2 linked regions of the Saccharomyces cerevisiae S288C genome follow. Changing the gene in region 1 together with any one later gene gives a genetic interaction. Each region holds a gene or a part of one and is shown on either strand. Other genes may lie near its edges.

Region 1 (5,115 bases):
ATATCGATGATTAGCTGTAGCAATAACTGTGTTTAATGCCAGAGGAGAGAAAAGAAAAAAAATATAGTTTTGGTAATGGATCAAAAAAGTTACAGAAGTAATCTTAAATCTCTCTTTTTGTTTTATCGTTATCCGTTCCTTAACAAAAGTAAGAAAAAAGATGTAAGATAGACTATGGAAATAGTATATTATGCGTTATGTAATGGAAGGAAACTACAGATACGTATATATATATATCAAATGCAGTGAAACTAAGGATACAAAAGGAGGTGAATGATGCCTGAAATAGCAATCCCTTATATAACAAATCACGTATAAGCATGAGAAAAGCTTTCCCCAGATTGCGAGAAAAAAAAAAAGATAGGGAGGGAAGGGAATCTAAGATATCAAAGAAAAAAAAAAAAAAAAAAAGTAAAATTAGAGAGGAAAGACTGCGACAAATAGAGAAAAACTGTTGATTCGGGTTGTATTCGTTTCTTTTAGCAGTAGTTTTCTGTTGATTTGACGTACGTTGATTCACCCCCTGATGTTTTTTAGGCCACTGCCCCACTCTGCTGCAGATAACCGCCCATAACCCAGTGAGTATTTTTTTCGCCGCGTCCTCCTTGATTGTCTGTCTGGTGTTCTTTTAGCTTGGCTGTTACCAGCCTGCAGATCCACGCCACGCCATCTCACTTACGGACGAGGACGCTCTTCATTTGCTGCATTCATAAGAAGGGGCAAAAAAAAGAGGTTTGTCGCCGCTTTGGAGCAGCGCGTCTTTCCGCGGAAGAAATATAGTTTTCGGACCGAGAAGAAGCCACCACATCCCACTACTCGCTCAATACGATGTGTGGAGAATGCATGGTCTCTACGCATTTTGTATGACGGAGCTTACGTAAGCCGTTTCCTGCGGGGTGCGTCAATAGACCTTGACACTGCTGTGGTACTCCCGCCTTTCCTTTGTTTGCGTAACAGATCTCGGAAATTACATGGTGCGTGCTCGGGCTTTTTGTGATAAGAGTACTCCAGCACCGATTATTGGTGTTTACGGAGGCGCTTCGTAGCATTGCAGATACACACAAAACTAAGAGTAATAAAAATAGCTACGTAAAACAAGATTGGTTAAACTTTATTGTGCCGCTTGTGTACATTCGTATTCCGAAAAAGTAAGGTGAAATCACCGTCACCGATGCTCATGCAGCTACTCCTCACCTTTTAAGGTTGAAATCCGCTTGTCCTTGAGTAATATTCCTACGTATTATGGAAATAATGTACGAATCTGTGTCTATGTATGCCTCATAATTACAACAGTGTTGTTGCTTCTTCCTTATTTAGCCATAGATACGCTGGTTTGCGTTCTCCGCCCCCGCACCTACCATTTCCTTGGCGAAGTAGTTATATGGGGAAAACTCAACAACTTGTTACATAATCCACCAATAATTCAGATGAAAGCACATACAAGAAAATAAAAAGGTAAGTAATGACGTTCAGCACAATGGAGTTGTTAATTTCTGGCCAATGCTTAGTATGCTCTCCACTCTTCCCTTTAGTGGGTTCGAATTACAATCAATCAGCTTCATGGTGGAGAAATCGATCGTGGCTTTACTCTTGCCTATGGTGACGCTACCATTCTTTACATTTTCTTTTTTTCCTATTCCTTCATCGATGCTAAAACTGTCTCCAAATTGTTCTCGAAACAGATTTTGCAATTCTTGGATCTTCCAAACGTTATGGTTTCTCTCTTTCAATTCTGATTCAGATAGCACGTTCTTGTCGCTTGCACACAAACCGATGATCATTATTACTATACTATCGGCAATTGTTTGGCTTATCATTGACTTCTGTGTCCACTCAATTGAAACGCTGCTCGCAGATATTTCTACTTCGACGTCACCCAGCATTAACAGTTTCGTGGCATTTTCCGTTGCAGTTGTTTCTATGCAACCGAACGTTTGGACAATATGAAGGTACAAATCATTAGTTCGATCTGTCCCACTGTTATTTAGATTAATTCTTTGATGAGTTCTGTCACTTTTGTCCTTGGGTAAATCCATTTTACGTTATAATGCAAATTACGTGAGCCGCTCTTGTTCAGTCATAGTGCAGACATGCAATTTTATCTCCGTTTCCTCTTATTTTTTTCTTGTTTTTCTTGCTTTCTTCCTTTCCCGAAGAAGAACATCCGAAGTTAAAAAAAAAAATCTCAAATTTGAGACTATTTTATTCTATCGTTGAATGAGTGAATTTTGTAAAGAAGTAAGTGAATTGATTAGATAAAGCATGTTTATCACATAAAGTCTTTTTTCATAGTAGCAACGATGCTTGATACCATTATGATTTATATCTTTTATCCCCATCGTCGGTTATCTAAAAATTAAAATCAAAAAAAATACATAATCATTGTATACTACGATATCGCCTTTTCGGCTAGATTTCATATGCATCCCTCTCGGAAAACAACAACAGCACATATGCATAAAACCACTACTTTTAAAGACTCGACTTTGAGTGGCCTGGGTTACACAACTTGCGATATTTCGATGTTTTCTTCCCTAAGCGTCGCAGTTGAACAAAACATCGGCTAAATTCTTTTCTCTTAGCAGAAACTTCATAGAGTTCATTAATAGTGATGGCTCCTTTTAGGCTAGGGACCTTTTTCTGAAGTTCTTTCTGTCACTATCCTCCGCAACCGCCTTTAAACTATTGAATGATTACTTTGCTAGGCCAATTTTTTTCGATCATTAAAATAAATTCTGAATATACCATGAAAATAAAGTTGCGCTTGTGACCTTTTTCGAGAAACACCATTTCACTTGATTTTGCATAGTTATTAGCGAAAATAGCACGATTTTTTTTTTTTCGATGCATTTTCCCTTTGCTCTCCTTACCTGCAAGGTTAGCGCAAGCAAAATGTCAAAGATGCGTCTAATATAAACATGTATATATAGTCCAAGTGCATTCAAGGAATACTATCGTAACAACTTTTTTATCCTCCTTCGATTATGCAGTATCAATTGTCGAAGAAAAAGCTTAGGTCACAATATGGTCGAAGGACGGCATATCATGATTCTAAGAATGCCTTTCTTTCTAAAAAGATGACGTTTGGTTCTATTTCAGTTATTCCCAGTTTGCTACCCATTTTTCTTTTCATTCCTCGAATACTTCCAACAAACATATAAAAATTTTCGTAATCGTTGACCTATTTTGGGGAGTTCCTTTTTTCTTCTTTAGAACTCCCTTTGGTTATATTTATTACTACGCAGATTTCGAGTAGTTGTCACATCAAACAGAATAAAAGGGGTATTGTAAATTTACTGACTTTTCCATCAATCCCGTATGAATGGATGGCTTACATATCTTGGAACGCAGACTTCGAAATTAAGTATTTAGGAGTGAGAATGTGCGTTAGCATTTTGTCTCATATCTAAATATTCAAGTTTAACTTGTATTATTTGTCCTCAGTACAAGAGGTGTACGGCTTTTGAAAGTCCACTCCCCCATTTTTATCCGGATCTCTGCCGCTGGATTCTATTTTGTCACAAAGTTTGTGCCTTGGAGAGCGCCGTTTGCCAGCCCGTCATCAGTAGGACCCTTTTGTGCGGCTGCCAAATTTTCTAGAGATACCGCCGCGGCCGCCTCTTGTCTGGAAGAATTTGCATTGCCAAGGAAATTGATTCAGTTCATTAAGTACAGTTGTGAAGCACTTTAGTTACTTAACATGAATGACAGTTTTATTAGGTGTAAAAAAAAATCCTTTTTTTCAGAGAGCTATTTGTAAATATTATATGAATATTAAAAAACATCCTTTTTGAGTAAGAATTCCTATGAAACAAAATGGAACAATTTCACTTATATTGTAAGCGGATTTTACAACAGATATAAAATATTGTGCGCCAACATTAAAGTATTAAAGAACCCGGAATTTAACAATTGCAGAAGTATGATCGTGTAGTAGATTTTTTATGTTAAAATCCTATCTCTAAATGCTATATTATTATAACTTGTGGCGCCTGTTTCCCTCTTGAAGCTGTTTAAATCTTTTGAATGGCTCGCCGCTTGCCCAAAAAGGCAAGGTTCCGTTAGTCTCCATTGCTTGTGCTTTGATAAGCTTCTGTTTCATTTCACTGTGTAACAATTCTTTCATACCTAGTACACTTTTCGGATAAAGCCCTTCTAAATTCTGCTTTATGTCCTGAAGAACTTTTTCATTGAATGTTTCAGTATTTGTCAATTGATAATTTTTTGTAATAATAGTTCCTATCAATTCTTTAAATAGAACTGGTGTGCTGAAAATCATATGTTCGTTTGCAGAATTTATACCCAGTTTTTGAGTTAAGGTAACAGAAGTTCCCACTTCTGCGACAAAACCGAGATTGCTGAAGGGAAAAAGAAGAAATACTGAATCGTTTTGCGAGTAAACAATGTCACAAAGAGCAACTAGCGATGCGCTAAGTCCGATGGCCGGTCCATTCAAACAGCACACCAGAACCTTTTTATGGATTGCAAATGCGTTCGCCACAAATATGTTAGGAGAGCTTATAGCAGATACCAGCTTTGAGACTTTCTCCACTTCGCTTGTAACGTCTCCATCGTTTAGCTTGTTAACTGCTGAAAACTTACCTCCCGAGGAGAAATACTTGCCTGAGCTTTGTAGAACAGTAAACAAAACAGAATCAATATCGTTTGCCTTATGCAGTAATAGTGCAATGTATACAAAATCCTCGAAAGTTAAAGAGTTCAAATGTTTTGGATCAATTAATTTGATTATGAAAAAGGGACCATTAATATGGTAGCACACACGACTGCTCATAGTTAGAAGATAACTCACTAGACTTAACACCAGAAAATCCTACTCTGTAATAAAATAATCCCGGGGTAATGGATTGGATTTTTCTATCAGGATCGTTTACGTATATATAATACACTGTCGGAGTTTAGCGCGCTTACAGCCGCTACTTGTGGAGTCCTTTTTTTTTTTTTTTTTTTGGGGTTTCAGACATCCAGTAAAGAATAGAAACAAGCAACAAACTTCAGAACTGAAACAATGCTTTTTTAAGTTATCGCCTAAATATATTCAAAAAATATAGATATGCTAGATTTTCAATTATACCAAAGTTCATATTTTCAAAATGA
Region 2 (4,028 bases), on another chromosome or scaffold:
GTGGAGATCTCACCATGTAGTGTGGCGGATCCCTTTTGAAATCTCATGTTGTGACCACGACCGAGAACACTTCCGTCTTTGTTATTGATAAGACATCCGCCAATAGGAACACCACCCTCTTTGTAACCTAAGGCCGCCTCCTCATAGGCAATGTCCATACCCTTCTGATCCCACTTGCTTGCCATTCCCCCTGTCACCATTAGCTATGAAATTTTTAACTCTTTAAGCTGGCTCTCATCAACATAAAACAATGGCTTGTAGATCTCATTGTCGAATTGAAAATGAACTTTTTAATTTCGCAAAAAAAAAAAGAAAAGTTCAGGGTCTCCGGGTACTACCGCCCCTGCAAGGAATGACCGGTGATAATGGAAGAGAAGATATTACAGCGACAGTATAATTAACAAACACGTTGTGTCTTTAGGCTCGTAACTAACTGTACGTATATCTACACACCATAGGTCACTACTTGCAATATATTTGTTATGCTACACCATAAGTTCGTATACCCATTTTTATTCAAGTGGCACTTATCATGTGTAGAAAAGTGTCCCCCACAAATCACTTTTATAGCTAAGTATGCTACAGCGAACGATAAAAATGGCAATAGAAAACTTACGATAAGGGATGAACAATGGCCTGAGTTGGCAGATCCAACTCCCTATGATATTTTTGGCATTCCAAAGGCCGGATCTGGAAATCCTAAACTGGACAAGAAGTCGTTAAAAAAAAAATATCATCGTTATGTAAAATTGTACCACCCTGACCATTCCGATAACATTCAAATATTTAGCTCAGAAAAGGTTACCAACAGTGATAGTAAATCACCGCTGCTGCTAACATCAAGCGAAAAACTACATAGATTTAAAGTCATCTCTCAAGCATATGATATTCTTTGTGACCCAAAGAAAAAGATCGTATATGACACAACGAGGCAAGGCTGGACCACATCGTATTCACCACGTTCTAACGTTAATACTGAAAATTACCAATATGCCGGCTCTTATGGCTACCACTCTAACGCGCAGTATGAATACTGGAACGCTGGGACTTGGGAAGACGCAAATAGCATGAAAAACGAAAGAATTCAAGAAAACATCAACCCATGGACCGTTATTGGCATAATTTGTGGCCTAGCTATATGCATCGAAGGGACTGCGTTGTTAGCCAAAATCCAGGAGTCTCTGAGCAAGGCCGAATTTACTCATGACGAAAGTGGATTACATTTGATTCAGTCATACACGAATTATGGTCTTGATACTGACAAATTTTCCAGATTGAGGCGGTTCTTATGGTTTAGAACTTGGGGACTTTACAAGTCGAAAGAGGATTTAGATAGAGAAGCCAAGATCAATGAAGAAATGATACGCAAACTGAAAGCAGCTAAATGAAATCACCTATTGCGCCGCTCGCGGAATACAATTACTAAATTTTATATATATTCTTTAAAAATGCATCTATACATTCGTTTTTCCACGTATACCAAATTCGAAAAAAGTTGTTAAACCATCGTTTTCACGTTTTTTAATTTTTTTTTGGTTCTCTTTTTTTTTTTTTTTCAATATCAACTTTTTTTCAAACTTCGTGTTGCATTTCCTTTATCGTAAATTTTCAATGGATCTCTATAATCTTCGAAGTTCGAAGAAAAGAAGAAAAAAAGTATTGAAAAGTTGAAACATCGATTCCGTTTTGCTAACAAATAGCACTCAGCATCCTGCATAAAATTGGTATAAGATATGGATTTCACAAAACCAGAAACTGTTTTAAATCTACAAAATATTAGAGATGAATTAGTTAGAATGGAGGATTCGATCATCTTCAAATTTATTGAGAGGTCGCATTTCGCCACATGTCCTTCAGTTTATGAGGCAAACCATCCAGGTTTAGAAATTCCGAATTTTAAAGGATCTTTCTTGGATTGGGCTCTTTCAAATCTTGAAATTGCGCATTCTCGCATCAGAAGATTCGAATCACCTGATGAAACTCCCTTCTTTCCTGACAAGATTCAGAAATCATTCTTACCGAGCATTAACTACCCACAAATTTTGGCGCCTTATGCCCCAGAAGTTAATTACAATGATAAAATAAAAAAAGTTTATATTGAAAAGATTATACCATTAATTTCGAAAAGAGATGGTGATGATAAGAATAACTTCGGTTCTGTTGCCACTAGAGATATAGAATGTTTGCAAAGCTTGAGTAGGAGAATCCACTTTGGCAAGTTTGTTGCTGAAGCCAAGTTCCAATCGGATATCCCGCTATACACAAAGCTGATCAAAAGTAAAGATGTCGAGGGGATAATGAAGAATATCACCAATTCTGCCGTTGAAGAAAAGATTCTAGAAAGATTAACTAAGAAGGCTGAAGTCTATGGTGTGGACCCTACCAACGAGTCAGGTGAAAGAAGGATTACTCCAGAATATTTGGTAAAAATTTATAAGGAAATTGTTATACCTATCACTAAGGAAGTTGAGGTGGAATACTTGCTAAGAAGGTTGGAAGAGTAAGCATGAAGGCTATCACGGTAACAATTCCACATTGCCGAGTGATTACTACGCATATATAAACACACACACTCACCATATATATGTACGCATAGTAGCATCTATTGAATATAAGAAGATAGAGTTTCAAGTTATACATTATATTGTACTATTTTCTTAAACGATGGCTCATAAATTCTATAGGAATTATCAACCCAATAACCTCATCGCTAATTCAAAAGTAGCAAAAGTGGCACCATTGGCGGGAGCAGCTCTTAGCATGGTAGGACCAAACCCTTTGAAAAAAGCGCCTATCCCTCCATTGGCATATAAAGTCTTGGCTACACTGGAAATAGAATTACCAAATTTAGGCTTTTGTAAATTATCCGTTTGCATGACAGACTTGATGACATCTAATGGATATACCATCAACCATAAGGCAGTGCCAGACAATGCTCCAAAAATACAAAGTTTCCATGCAGGAATGTCCTTTCTCTCTAGTCCACGTCTTTTGTTCATTTGGTTAGCAATCAACGCTTCATACACTAAGAAATATGTGCCACATCCATGACCTTCTCTCAATATTGTAGGTGTTAAACCACGTAGCAAGGCCTTGTTATGTCTTAATTTTTTGATGCATTCCAAAGGACCCTTGAATTCTGCGTTGGTGCCTGAGCCAGTCTGTGTTTGCAAGCGAATCCTGACATGCTCAATTGGGGACGCCAAGAATGAGTTTACTATACCGCCTGTGACACCACATGCGTAATACTGTGGCAATGACAAAGTCGATGACATATCAGCATTGCGATGATGAAAAAATCTCTTCATAGCTTCATTAACACCAAATTGTAATGAAACACATGCACCAACACCAATTAATGGCGTCAGAGTTCCTTTGTAAAACCCGCGAGGCCCTTCATTGGCAAGCAGCTTTCTGACGACTTCCATGGCTGTTGTTGGGGTGCTCGATGTTTGTAACCTAACTTTTGTCGTATCAAAGGGCTGGCCCACTAGCACTTGCGCAATACCACCCGCTGTACCTGCAAGCAAATCTTTCACGACTCGAGCATTATCATGCTGTGGATGTTCTTCCAAATCATCGATTAGTTGAGGAGATGGAAATTCTTCAGACATACTTCTTCGTGATGCGAATTTGATTGACGAGAAACCTAAACAAGAGAGCTGCGTTGGAGTATAGATGATAGTTGTTATTAGCTTATTGACATTGATTGATGCTATAGCATGGCTACATCATCGCTGACAATTTGCGCTCGAGTTTTCTTAGGGCGCCGCTTATCTTCGGCCTATCAGTAAATGTAAGAATGAGTCAATCAAAGTAATAACACTTTTTACTTCCTGTAAAAAACTACATAAGAAATTTATTTACATTATTCTATCAAGTCTTTTTGACCATAGTTCACTGCTATAACAGACACTGTCAGCTCAGTTATCGTCATATTCTCCACCGCGGCTGGTATCTCAACATTCAATTCCGCCATCTCCTTCGGGAGTGTTATTTTATTCTCATGTGCTTCAACTGGCTTCTTT

The links.
Region 2: mutations in SYC1 (region 1) and ARO7 together harm fitness more than expected from each alone (negative genetic interaction), as found in Saccharomyces cerevisiae (2 studies listed by BioGRID).

Annotation. Positions count from the first base shown.
Region 1 is NC_001147.6:670,376-675,490, forward strand, and holds SYC1 (cleavage polyadenylation factor subunit SYC1), read right to left. Parts: upstream 2,037-5,115; coding exon 1,470-2,036; downstream 1-1,469. Other genes in the region: putative dodecenoyl-CoA isomerase DCI1, read right to left, coding at 3,977-4,792. UniProt on the Saccharomyces cerevisiae protein: Component of the cleavage and polyadenylation factor (CPF) complex, which plays a key role in polyadenylation-dependent pre-mRNA 3'-end formation and cooperates with cleavage factors including the CFIA complex and NAB4/CFIB.
Region 2 is NC_001148.4:673,337-677,364, reverse strand, and holds ARO7 (chorismate mutase ARO7), read left to right. Parts: upstream 1-1,733; coding exon 1,734-2,504; downstream 2,505-4,028. Other genes in the region: FCY1 (cytosine deaminase), read right to left, coding at 1-200; JID1 (Jid1p), read left to right, coding at 483-1,388; YMC1 (organic acid transporter), read right to left, coding at 2,691-3,614; BRR1 (Brr1p), read right to left, coding at 3,869-4,028. UniProt on the Saccharomyces cerevisiae protein: Catalyzes the Claisen rearrangement of chorismate to prephenate. Acts at the first branch point in the aromatic amino acid pathway where it steers biosynthesis towards phenylalanine and tyrosine, and away from tryptophan.